Saccharomyces cerevisiae S288C: one gene and its partner. Changing the gene in region 1 together with any one later gene gives a genetic interaction. Each region holds a gene or a part of one and is shown on either strand. Other genes may lie near its edges.

What was found.
Region 2: of CCT3 (region 1) and NOC3, extra expression of one rescues a mutant of the other (dosage rescue), as found in Saccharomyces cerevisiae (one study listed by BioGRID).

Annotation. Positions count from the first base shown.
Region 1 is NC_001142.9:405,976-412,846, reverse strand, and holds CCT3 (chaperonin-containing T-complex subunit CCT3), read right to left. Parts: upstream 5,290-6,871; coding exon 3,685-5,289; downstream 1-3,684. Other genes in the region: VTC4 (Vtc4p), read left to right, coding at 1-1,613; MAD3 (Mad3p), read left to right, coding at 1,807-3,354; TPH3 (Tph3p), read right to left, coding at 5,574-6,871. UniProt on the Saccharomyces cerevisiae protein: Molecular chaperone; assists the folding of proteins upon ATP hydrolysis. Known to play a role, in vitro, in the folding of actin and tubulin. In yeast may play a role in mitotic spindle formation.
Region 2 is NC_001144.5:152,406-159,766, reverse strand, and holds NOC3 (Noc3p), read left to right. Parts: upstream 1-3,432; coding exon 3,433-5,424; downstream 5,425-7,361. Other genes in the region: THI73 (Thi73p), read left to right, coding at 262-1,833; CMS1 (Cms1p), read left to right, coding at 2,037-2,912; YLR001C (uncharacterized protein), read left to right, coding at 5,790-7,361. UniProt on the Saccharomyces cerevisiae protein: Required for synthesis of 60S ribosomal subunits and the transport of pre-ribosomes from the nucleoplasm to the cytoplasm. Also required for initiation of DNA replication.

The DNA of each region.
Region 1 (6,871 bases):
CATCTGCTGGTGGGAAGCAACAAAATTTCGTTAGACAGACAACAAAGTATTGGGTTCACCCTGATAACATTACAGAATTGAAGCTGATCATCTTGAAGCATTTACCAGTGTTAGTCTTCAACACTAATAAGGAATTCGAAAGAGAAGATTCCGCTATTACTTCGATCTATTTTGATAATGAAAATCTAGACCTTTATTATGGCAGATTAAGAAAAGATGAAGGTGCAGAAGCCCACAGATTGAGATGGTATGGGGGTATGTCTACAGACACGATCTTTGTAGAAAGAAAGACCCATAGAGAGGATTGGACTGGTGAGAAATCTGTCAAGGCAAGATTTGCGCTAAAGGAACGTCATGTTAATGACTTCTTAAAGGGTAAATATACTGTTGATCAAGTATTTGCCAAGATGCGTAAAGAAGGCAAGAAGCCAATGAACGAAATTGAAAACTTGGAGGCGTTAGCATCCGAAATTCAATACGTCATGTTAAAGAAAAAGTTGAGACCTGTAGTGAGATCATTCTACAATAGAACTGCTTTTCAATTACCTGGTGATGCAAGAGTTCGTATCTCCCTTGATACAGAGTTAACTATGGTGAGAGAAGACAACTTTGATGGTGTGGATAGAACTCATAAGAATTGGAGGAGAACTGATATTGGTGTCGATTGGCCATTCAAGCAGCTAGATGACAAGGATATTTGCCGTTTCCCATATGCAGTCCTGGAAGTTAAATTGCAAACTCAACTAGGTCAAGAACCTCCAGAGTGGGTACGTGAATTAGTCGGGTCTCACTTAGTTGAGCCAGTCCCAAAATTCTCCAAGTTTATTCATGGTGTGGCTACCTTACTAAATGATAAAGTGGATTCAATCCCATTTTGGTTACCTCAAATGGATGTTGATATCAGGAAACCTCCACTACCAACAAATATTGAAATAACAAGACCCGGTAGATCCGATAACGAAGATAACGACTTCGATGAGGATGATGAGGATGACGCTGCTTTGGTTGCTGCCATGACAAACGCACCCGGTAATTCTCTTGATATAGAAGAATCTGTTGGTTACGGGGCTACTTCGGCCCCCACCTCCAACACTAATCATGTTGTTGAGAGTGCTAATGCTGCTTATTATCAAAGAAAGATCAGGAATGCCGAAAATCCTATCTCCAAGAAATACTATGAAATCGTGGCATTTTTTGACCACTATTTTAACGGTGATCAAATATCTAAAATCCCAAAAGGTACTACTTTTGATACTCAAATTCGTGCCCCACCGGGAAAGACGATATGTGTGCCAGTTCGTGTGGAACCAAAAGTTTACTTTGCCACTGAAAGAACCTACCTGTCTTGGTTGTCCATCTCGATATTGTTGGGCGGTGTCTCCACTACTTTATTAACATATGGTTCACCAACAGCCATGATTGGCTCCATTGGGTTCTTTATTACTTCCTTGGCTGTGTTGATACGTACTGTTATGGTTTATGCCAAGAGAGTGGTAAACATTAGACTAAAGAGAGCAGTAGATTATGAGGATAAGATCGGGCCCGGCATGGTTTCTGTGTTTCTAATTCTCTCTATTTTATTTTCCTTTTTCTGCAACCTAGTTGCTAAATGAATACACAGCGTGTTTTTTTTACTGTATAATTAAGTAATAATCATATTAGATATAATAATTTCTTTAGCGCCATTTTTTTATATATGAGAACTACCCTCTTGCCTGAAATGCACACCTTCACCAGGCGCACACTGGTTCAAAAATAGTAAACAAAATCATGCGAAAATACAATAAAAGACGTTAACTTGATAGAATGAAAGCGTACGCAAAGAAACGTATCTCTTACATGCCATCGTCACCATCACAAAATGTTATTAACTTTGAAGAAATCGAAACTCAAAAAGAAAACATTCTTCCCCTGAAGGAAGGCAGATCAGCAGCGGCACTCTCGAAAGCGATACATCAACCACTGGTGGAAATAAACCAAGTTAAATCAAGCTTCGAACAAAGACTGATAGATGAGCTCCCTGCATTAAGCGACCCAATTACTTTGTATCTTGAATACATAAAGTGGCTGAACAACGCCTATCCACAAGGCGGTAATTCCAAACAATCTGGAATGCTCACCCTTTTGGAGCGATGTTTATCTCACTTAAAGGATTTGGAGAGATATCGCAATGATGTTAGGTTTCTTAAAATATGGTTTTGGTACATAGAACTTTTTACCAGAAATTCATTCATGGAAAGCAGAGACATTTTCATGTATATGTTAAGAAATGGAATTGGTTCCGAGTTAGCGTCATTTTATGAAGAATTTACGAATCTATTAATTCAGAAAGAAAAATTTCAATATGCCGTGAAAATTCTACAGCTAGGAATCAAAAATAAGGCTAGGCCTAATAAGGTTTTAGAAGACCGGTTAAACCATCTCCTGAGAGAACTGGGGGAGAACAATATTCAGCTAGGAAATGAAATATCGATGGACTCATTAGAGTCTACAGTACTTGGGAAAACCAGATCTGAATTTGTCAATAGACTAGAGCTTGCAAATCAAAATGGCACATCAAGTGACGTCAATTTAACAAAAAACAACGTATTTGTAGATGGAGAAGAGTCTGATGTAGAACTATTCGAAACTCCGAATAGAGGTGTTTATAGAGATGGCTGGGAAAATTTTGACTTAAAGGCAGAAAGGAACAAAGAAAACAACCTTCGAATATCATTGCTAGAAGCAAATACCAATTTGGGTGAGCTTAAACAACATGAGATGTTATCGCAAAAAAAGAGACCATATGATGAAAAACTACCGATCTTTAGAGATTCTATAGGTAGAAGTGACCCTGTTTATCAAATGATTAATACAAAGGACCAGAAACCAGAAAAAATTGACTGTAATTTTAAACTGATTTATTGTGAAGATGAGGAATCTAAAGGTGGTAGACTAGAATTTTCGCTAGAAGAAGTCTTGGCAATTTCTAGAAACGTTTATAAAAGGGTTAGGACAAATAGGAAACATCCAAGAGAAGCAAATTTAGGGCAAGAAGAAAGCGCAAATCAAAAAGAAGCTGAAGCACAATCGAAAAGACCAAAAATAAGTAGAAAAGCCTTAGTCTCCAAGTCGTTGACCCCCTCAAACCAGGGAAGAATGTTTTCTGGCGAAGAGTACATAAACTGCCCTATGACGCCAAAGGGACGAAGCACTGAGACGTCTGATATCATCTCAGCTGTCAAGCCGCGGCAGTTAACCCCAATTTTAGAAATGAGAGAATCAAATTCTTTTTCTCAAAGCAAAAATTCTGAGATCATTTCAGATGATGACAAGTCGAGTTCGTCTTTCATATCGTACCCACCACAGCGTTGAAATAAAACTAATCCCATGAATGAGTAAGTATACTGGCCAATCGTAAACACATCGACGGCCGACTTTTTTATTTAAAGCACAGATGATATAATGATTATTTAACGAATGATACTTCTATATTAAATCCTATGAGGAGTAATATAAATATAAAAAGGCCAATTTTAAAATGAACGTTTGTCCGATTAACGCTTATGACATACTGTAGGGATGACAAAATTATAGTGAGGACTTTAATTCTATATAAATACATTACAATAGTATAAAAAAACAAAAAAATGTGAAGAAACACCAAATATTAAACGGCAGTAATGAAGTTTAACCTCGAGGCTATTATTCTTGTTTTCTTACACCACTAACAATATCATCAACCCTTAATAGTAAACATGCACTTTCAATAGCGGTTTTGACACTTTGCTGCTTGATGACTTCAGGTTCCCAAATACCGTAACTAACCATATCTACAATTTTCCCCTTGTCACCATCAATACCTGTTGTAAAATTTCCCTGTGCGTGTTTGGCTCTTAGTTGGGATAGGAGTCTAATAGGATCACCACCTGCATTTTGTATCAAAGTACGTGGAATACACTCCATAGCATCAGCTACAGCTTGGTATGGCCATTGCTGGATCCCTTCTAATTGCTTTGCCTTTTCTGCTAATTTGACAGAAACTGCCATCTCGGTGGCACCACCACCTGGGGACAAGGAAGGACTCAACATCACATTACGAGCAACAGCCATAGCATCTTGTAGGTTACGATCTATTTCGTTTAATATATCTTTGGAACCACCACGTAACATTATGGTACAAGCTTTTGGTTCCTTGCAGTTATCCAAAAATGAGAAATATTCGTCCCCAATCATTTCTACTTTGAATAATCCACAGTTTGTACCGACATCACTTTCCTTCAAGTCCTCTACACGATTGACAATGGTTGCACCAGTTACACGAGCAATTCTATTATTGTCTGATTTCTTCACTCTTCTTAAAACACTACATCCACCCTTTAGTAAATAATGCTGTGCTAGATCTGAAACACCTTTTTCAGTGATGACTAGTGTTGGCCTAACGGCTAAAATTTGTTCACACATTAGCTGAACTTGTTCTTCCTCGATTTGTAAAATCCTATTCCAATCTTCCTCCTTTTCAATTTCTATGTTGGTTTGAGATTCACCCTTCTTATATTCTAGTGGACAATCCAAAAGAACAACACGTGGATTCTCTATGTGACGGGACATCTTTGGATGAACAACATCCTTGTTCAATAAGACACCCTTTAAGACGCGAGAATCTAGAACATCCCCCCCAGGAATCTTCTCCACACGGACATATCTTTTGATATCGATTTCAAAATTAGGTTCACCTTCCACAGTTTGTCCCAGGTCTTTACGGACAGTCTTAACAGCGTCTAGAGCTAATTCACACATTTTCTCTGACCAATGTATGACATATTTAGTACCGATAGAGGCTTGAATCAATTTTTTCATAGCGGCATCATTTTCCACATCGACAGGTTTACTTACTTGTTTGATAACTTCTAGTGCATCAGTCAGTGCTTTCTTCAAGGCTTGGATAATAATAACAGGGTGAATATTTTTTTCAATCAAATAAGGTGCACACTGAGCTAAAATCTCACCAGCTAGAATAATAACTGTTGTAGTCCCGTCACCAACCTCTTCGTCTTGAGTACGGGATAACTCCAACATTGATTTAGCTGCTGGATGTGCAACATCAATTTCCCTTAAAATAGCGTGGCCATCGTTAGTCAACACAAGACCGCCCATAGGATCCAATAACATCTTTAACATAGCTTTTGGACCTAAGCAAGTTCGAATGACATCGGCAACTGCCTTTGCAGCAGTGATATTGGAGATTTGGGCCTGACGACCGGTAGTTCTCTCTTGAGAAGCATTCATAAATACCACTGGAGCTTGCATTGTGGCTTATATCACTATTGTACTTGATGATTTTCAACGTATGATCACTCGATATTATCGATGCTTTTTTGATATAATGCTCTCTACTCACTTTATTGAGTGGCGATTTGCTATTTTTTTTTCTTCGCACCATGCGTCACGTTAAACGAAAAAGTTTAGTATTAGGATGGAAGTATATAATATCACATAAGATTATATCAGGGTATATTTGGCTATACAGAAACTGTACCACAAATATATACACTGTATGTAAGTTTTTGAGATGTGGCTATATATGCGAAGAACTATGCAATGGGCGAAGTACTTGCGACGATAGGACGTTCGCACATAGAACTTTTGTATTCATGGGCGTTTACTTGCAATTGATTCATCATATTAGTCGTTTCAGAACTAACATTGCTTTTATCACTCAATGAAAATTCCTTCACAGAATTATCCTTGTCACTCATGCAATTAAGTTTAGAGTGATCCCTCGTAGTATTATACATGCCCATTACATCACTAAAGGTCCTGAAGTTGAGTTCTGTGTTTCTCTTGGAGACTTTTGTCATTCTTTCTTGCAGGTAGCTAGAAAATCTTGACATAGTTAAAGCCATAGTATCGTCAGTATCTTTTTCTTTCAAAGGATTAAATTCCTGGGTCATCAAATGGGCAATCTCCTCTTCAGCAAAATAATCCACTGAGGGCAATTTAGGTAATCCAAACATTAACGAATTTATATCGGTTCTTTCTGTCTTGAATTGAACTGGACGCCCATAAAGTCTTGCACAATCCATCAAAGGAATAATGAACCTGATCATTGCTTCCAGGTGATGTACGCCATGATGGGGCAATGGCCTAATCAAAAGCCCATTTGTACGTGTAGTGAAGTTAGTTATAGGCTTTTTTGTTGATCTAGAAGTTAACGAACTTACATGGGAGCTATTTCTTCTGTGCCCTTTAGGTGAAAAGAAAGTTCTACTTTTTGGTGTAGTGTTAGGACTTTCATTATTCAATGCTGTCGAGCTGCTGTCACCACTGCCGTTGTTTGCACTACTATAGATGGATCCACTATCCACCACATCATTAAAGTCCGTATCACTGCAAAAGCGTACATTACCAACGAGCTTTATCATTTGCAACCCTTGAAAAAAGTCGTTCATATTTTTAGAAGGTTCTGCCGCATTGATGTTATAAAAGAAAATATCTTGAACGTACTCATTGTCAGGAATAAAAAAAACGCAGTTCTTGCTAGATGTGGATTTGTCATCTCTATAAAACCGTATTTGATACTTTCCTTTAGCATCATTGTCACTACTACTTTTAGAATTATTGGTTTTAGACACTTTATCAATATGACACCACACTTTCACCCAACCTTGACCATCAAGATAAACTTCACACCAATCCTTAAAATTGAACGGCGAGTTCAAAATGATATGCATATCAGACATTCTCAGCCCATAAGAGGAAATCACTGTGCCTGTCAAGGCCTTATATATAGAAATGAACTCAAAAATAGAAATCATACACAACCTTTTGAACTTCTCCAGTAAACCAAAATCGTTACATGTGATAGATAGTTGGCCATTATTGAATTGCA
Region 2 (7,361 bases), on another chromosome or scaffold:
TCATAACTATTTGTTTTTTTTGCATATCTGGTTGATCCTCCTTAGTTAATATAGTCTCTTTGAGTTTCCCTTAAGGAACTGTCATTTGGTCCGGCGGAAAACATGGTGGTGACAGACAGCCTTTTCAGAGGTGATGAGCAATCTCGATGAGCATCTCAGCGGGTGCATATATACACGTATATAAGATAGTTCAAAGTATGATAGATTAAAGTTTACTTTGTTGTTGCTGAGAAGTAGTGAGAGTGTCAGCAAATCAATACAATGAAAAACATGTCACAACGATCCATGGACGTGGAGAAGAAGGCAGCTAACGCTGATAGTTGTTCCGTAAGTACCTCGAGCATTAATGTAGACGATGCGGACGTTGCTTTAAGATTCCTGAAACAGAACGGTCTCGACGAAAGCTCCACGGCTAATGAAGACGATGTTGTAGCAGGCGAAGAAGCCAACTTCTATGGTTCCCATGAATTATCTCCTAAGGTCCTGAGAAAAGTTGACCTCTTCATCCTGCCCTTTTTATGCTGTACATATCTTCTGATGTTTTTGGATAAGGCTCTGCTGAACTACGCTGCATCTATGGGTATCAAAGATCATTTGAAAGGTAACGAATTTTCTAATTTGGGTACTATCTTTTCTGCTGCTTACATTTTCATGGAACCTGTGGTCACTTACTTAATTCAAAAATTCCCCATTTCCAAAATCCTAGGTACTTTTATTACCGTCTGGGGTATCGTGTTGGCTTGCCATGCTGCTTGTAAGACGTACGCCTCGTTGATGGTCGTTCGTACTCTCCTAGGTCTCTTTGAATCCTCGAGTGCAGTTGGTTGTATCGCTATTAGTGGTATGTACTATACTAAATCTGAACAGAGTGCAAGAATTGGATTCTGGGCCACACAGGCTGGTACAGGTTATATTGTGGGCGGGTTAATTTCTTTTGGCTTTTTACATTATCATGGTACCGCTTTCACCTCTTGGCAAATAATGTTTTTGGTCGTTGGTCTGGTTACAGTTGCGTTTGGTGTTCTAACATTCTTATACCTTCCAGATAACGTCACCAATGCTTGGTTCCTAAACAAAGAGGAAAAAATTCAAGTTGTTGAGCATATCAGAGCTAACCAAACTGGCCTGGAAACAAAGAAGTTTAAGAAGCAGCAAGTTAAAGAACTATTCCTTCATGATAAGTTTACTTGGCCGATGCTTTTATTAACTGCATGTTCTCAAATTTCTACTGGTGCCATTGGTACATTTTCAGTGACCATCACTGGTACTTTTGGTTTCGACAAGTACGAAACAGCATTACTGCAGTTGCCTATTGGTGCCATTACGGCTATGATTATTCTTATAACAACTCAAATGTTGTCCCGCTGGGGTCATATCACACTCATAACCACATCTATGTATATTCCAGCTATTATAGGTTGTATCGTTCTTATCAGTTTACCCTTATCCCATAAGATCGGTAACTTATTTTCTCTGTACTTGCTTTACAGTGGTTCCTGTGTCATTACCAATATTTACATCTGGAATTCATGCAACACCTCCGGTTACACCAAAAGAGTTTTTAGAAATGCTATTACAATGATTGTATACAATGTCTCCTGTATTATTGCTCCACAGATGTTTAGGGCATACTCTGCTCCACGTTACATACCAGCAAAGATTGCCTTATTGGTCACTCAGTGTGTTTGTGTTCCCCTACAATTATACATTGGCTACATTTGCAAGAAGGAGAACGAAAAGCGTGATAAGGAACAAGAAGGTCAAGAAAGGAAGAAGTACCAATTTTTGGACTTGACTGATATCGAAAACAGAAATTTCAGGTACATTTACTAATAATCAACTTTTAATTTACAATATATAATATTTTTAGTCTGTAATATTCAATATTCAAAGACACCCAAACATTCATTGCACTTGGTATTTACCAAAAAATTGAAGAGAAAATTTTTGAGATGACCATGGATGAGGCAATGAAAGTCGAAATTTGATCCCCGCTACTAACTTCTAAACATATCGTCAGGACAATTGAGCTGAAAATGTCTAATCCAGATGATTTAGATGATGGACTCGCCTATGATTTTGATGCCGAACATGAAGTAATTTTTGACGCCAAGGATGGTAGTCCCCCAACCAAAAAGGTACAAAAGAGGTCTATAGAACAAGATGACGATGACGTTGATGATATAGATGGGAAAAAAGAGGAGAGAAATTCAGAAGATGATTCGAATAGACCTATTTCGAAAAGACAGAAAAAGCTACAGAAAAAATCAAAGCTAATTGAGAAAAAGAAAGAGGAAAGCCAGTATATCGTCTCACAACGAAAAGCACTTCCAGCAAGTTCACCAGAAAAAATTATTGAGTACCTAACAACTTTGATACGAGAAAAAAATCCTGACTTGAGTGTTTTAGAATTAGAGGAACTTTACTTCAAAAGAAATGATTTTCTTTCGACAGAAAAATTTGACGCTGAACGCAGATTAAGCAATTTCCCAGCCTTTATTCAAAAATTTTCCGTAGCTCCAAAAAAAATTGTTTTTTCTATGTCTAATATTAGAGTAGCAGACGTTTATCGTAGTCTAAACGGTGGCAAAAATTGCGTCAAATTATTCTCTAAAAGTAAACTAAAGGATGACATAGCCACCGTGGAACGTTTACTTACTGACAGCTCTAAAAAATCAAACAAAAATAAAGATTCACTATATTTTATTGCCACTCCAACAAGAATGCAGAAAATTATAGAAGCTACTGACTTACTTTTCCAAGGTAAGGAAAAGTTAGATATCATTCTTGATGCAAGTTATTTAGATCCTAAGGATAATACTATATTATCATTCGAGAATGCAGCCGTCCTCTGCCAAGTCTTGAAAACCTTTTTGAATAAAAAAAGCTCCGTGAAAATACTGTTATATTAATAATAGCGCTTTTTCACTGAGGTTCTACACATAAGATTACGTTTTTAAATACCAGCCTTAATTTAGTATATTAAATATTTCATTCTAGCATTTGATGGGGTACTTCAAATTATCTTCTTTAAATTGTCCAAAGCCCTTCCAAAAAGTAAAATCAAAGGAGAAACTTCGAGAACGCCTAGGCGCGCAGCAAACTCCATATATAACAATGTATTTTTTCTTTAACTACATAAAACCAATTTATCCTATTTTACTCTTTCCATGGAGTGTATGCTTTTTTGTAGTTACTTAGATTCAGAAATTCAATGTCTTCCCTCATTTTCTTCACCGTAGAGTAGACCATGGGACGTCGTTTTACTTTAGTTTTTGAATTTTTTCAGCGATGCCCGAAAACTGAAAATTTTATCTCATCTCATTCACCTGCCTGCCATATATAGTATTTTCATGGTATAAACTTGGCATTTTATGTCTTCAATCATAAGAGTATAATTCCGGGATAAAAGCTGGAGATATCATAGTAATAATGGCTAAGAGAAATAGATCTCAATTTCGCATTCAGGAAAGGACTGCAAAGAAAAGAAAGCACGAAGATTCCTTGTTAGAAGGCAATGTTTTCCAAAATGCACCGGAAGATATGGATGAAAATACCATATATAGCGCAAAAGGCTCATCCTGGGATGAAGAAGAACAGGATTACGAAATGGTTCCTCGGAAGAATCGGTCTGATACATCAAATCTTGTTGAAGGCCTGCCTATAAAAGTTAACGGTAAAGTTGAAAGAAAATTGCATAAAGCCCAAGAAAAACCAAAGGACGATGATGAGGAAGACGAAGACTCTAATGACTCTTCAGAAGATGATGAGGGACCTAATGAAGAACAAGAAGCAGAGGCAAAGGAGGATGAGCCTGATACGGAGGAAAAAATTCTGCAACTAAAAGAAGACATTGCCGATTTAGTCACTAAAGTTATGGAGGAGCCTGAAGAAAATACTGCTGCGTTGGGGCGTCTATGTAAAATGGTGGAATCTAAAAATCCTAATACTTGTAAGTTTTCCATGTTGGCTTTGGTCCCCGTGTTTAAGAGTATCATACCAGGCTATAGAATTCGACCACTAACTGAAACTGAAAAGAAGGAAAAAGTTTCTAAAGAAGTCTCCAAGCTTAGAAACTTTGAGCAAGCCTTAGTTTATAACTACAAAAATTACGTCGGAAGATTACAGAGTCTTTCAAAAACTCCCAGTAATGCTGCTCCTATACAGGTTTCATTAGGGATTTTGGCCACTCAAGCCGCAAAAGAATTGATTTCAACGGCATCCCATTTCAACTTTAGAACAGACATTTTCACTTTACTGTTGCGTAGAATTTGTAAACCAAGAATTTCAACAGATCCAACTTCCATTCAAATAATCCAGACATTTGAAACTCTATTAAATGAGGACGAAGAGGGCTCAATATCATTCGAGATACTAAGAATTTTCAACAAAATACTAAAGACGAGGAACTTCAACATCGAAGAATCTGTTTTAAATATGTTATTATCGTTAGATGTCTTACATGACTATGACCCTAATACTAAATTGAAAGGTAACGTTAGCGCTCCTAAGCTCAAAAAGAAAGATAGGGTCCATCTTTCTAAGAAGCAAAGAAAAGCTCGAAAAGAGATGCAACAAATTGAGGAAGAAATGCGTAACGCTGAGCAAGCTGTTTCTGCGGAGGAAAGAGAAAGAAACCAATCCGAAATTCTAAAAATCGTTTTCACTATATATTTGAATATCTTGAAAAACAATGCAAAAACACTCATTGGATCGGTTTTGGAAGGTCTAACGAAGTTTGGTAATATGGCCAACTTTGATCTATTAGGGGACTTCCTCGAAGTAATGAAAGAACTTATTAGTGACACTGAATTCGATAACCTTTCCTCTGCTGAGGTCCGTAAGGCTTTGCTTTGTATCGTTAGTGCATTCTCACTTATTTCAAATACACAATATATGAAAGTTAATGTGGATTTGTCCAAATTCGTCGATGGGCTTTACGCGCTATTACCTTATATCTGTCTTGATGCAGACATCGAATTATCTTATAGATCGCTAAGGTTGGCTGACCCACTCAATAACGAAATAATAAAACCATCAGTTAACGTTTCTACCAAAGCAGAACTTCTGCTAAAGGCTCTGGACCATGTATTTTTCCGCTCTAAATCAGGGACTAAAGAAAGGGCTACGGCGTTTACCAAAAGATTGTACATGTGCATCAGCCATACCCCAGAAAAAACAAGTATTGCCATTCTTAAATTTATTGATAAATTAATGAATAGATATCCAGAAATTTCAGGCCTTTACTCTTCCGAGGATAGAATAGGCAACGGTCATTTCATAATGGAAGCCGATAATCCTTCAAGGAGTAACCCAGAGGCAGCAACCTTATGGGATAATGCTCTTCTTGAAAAGCATTATTGTCCTGTAGTTACAAAGGGGCTACGCTCTCTATCATCTAGATCTAAAGAGTGTTCTAAATAGCTAGATCCTATATATTAAGTATATAAAGAGCCACGATTATCGTTAGCCAATCATTTTTGCCGTGTCGAGTAGAATTGTATAAATATTAGCATTGTATGAAATTTGAATGAATTACCGCAAAAGTATTATACGTAAGCAATAGAAACAAATATCAGATTCAAGTTCACCAAATCAATATTAACAGCTTACTATATTGTCTTTTTTTATGGAAGAACATTACCGTGAAAACCCGGTAGGAGAATTTTGTTCGGTCGGACTTCCCCATTAGGCGTATATTAAGGGCCTAGAAAATAAGACAAAACGGCTTCTTATCTAAGCTGCTGTGAGTGACAGCATGTATTAACTGAATCAAACGGAGCCCTTTGATGAACATGGCAATCCAAACAATTAAATACATTTTTTGGCTACTGCCGATATTAGGGCTTACACAAGCACTTCTACAAAACCCAGGGGACGATTTTCCATTTAGCACAGTAATAGATATCCTCTCAGAAAATGTTGAATTCTCAACTTTTTTAAGGATTATTCAGAAAACTGGTCACGTACAGTACTTAAATGAGCTACAGAACTTTACACTTTTTGCTCCGATTAATTCAGCATTTATTAAGGGGGACCAAACCACAGACCAATTTGAGGAGCATTTCCATATTGAAGATTTCCTTATTCATGATAGGGTATTGCAAGTGAGAGACCTTGAAAACGGTACCTACCTGGAGAAAAGAGCTGCAAAAGCACCTTTATTGCTGAGAAAGCATGAGCGCCATTGCTTTGTCAATGAAATTGCTGTTGTCGAACCCGATTTGCTGCCTAGTTTCCAGAATGCTTCATTACAAGGTATTAACAATCTTTTACTAATTCAACCTCAAATAAATGAGTTGCTGGTACAACTAGATGAAGAAACCCAAGATTTAAAGATATTTAGTGATTTTATCAGCAGTTTTTCAAACTATAATGCATATACAAACTCATCCACAGTTTTAGTGCCCTTAGATGTTAATTTTCGAAAATTCTTCAATACAATCGAAATAAACTATCTACTTGACAAATATAATAAATTGGGTAAATCTAATACAATTTCTCAGGCCAAATGGGCCGCAGATAGAACTTCCCTTCTTCAAGAACTCATTATTGATGACGTGTATGGTGGTATTTTACCCAAGGAACTAATTTTAGAAAATAAAAACAATCGAAAACTTTTTATGAAGAGTAATTCAGAAGGTACATCAGTAAGTGTAAATAATTCAGATTACTCACCCATATCAAACAGAATTTTTGAAATAGGCGTCGTGCATGGATTTTCTGACTTAGACTTTTTACGAACGCATATACAGTTTGATGCTGAAAAGTACTTGCACGGTTTGAACTGCTCAGAATTCGTAAAGGAGTTATACTTCAGAGACCTTGAAAAATTCATTCAAAACGGAAGGAAAATCACCATATTTGTACCACAAGCCTCTTTTAATGAGGATCGTGGGTACACAAAACCATCACTTCTGTACCATTTTGTAGAAGGTAAAATTGACCTTGAACAGGACTTTTCCTCATTGCGCCCGATTCAATACGCACCTACCCAAATTTATGACTCCGCCTTTTGCTCTTCAGCTAAAAGACTAGGTGGACACTGCCAAAAGTTCAAAATCACAAGGTCTAATAAAGGTTATTACATCAATGGTCGCTTCAAGATTTTAAACACAAAACCTTATGAGATTGGTAATACGTCCATTTATTCTATTGACGATGATCTTCAATTACCGGGCGACTTAGTGTTGTCATTAGCACCAGAAAACCACTGTTCTATTTCCCTAATGCTCTTGAAGGAACTTAACCTTTTGGATCTACCATCAAATCATAAGGGGTACACGATACTTCTTCCATGTATGAATTCATGGGACAATAATGATTTGACTATAGACTATTTGAGGTCAAACAAAACCGCC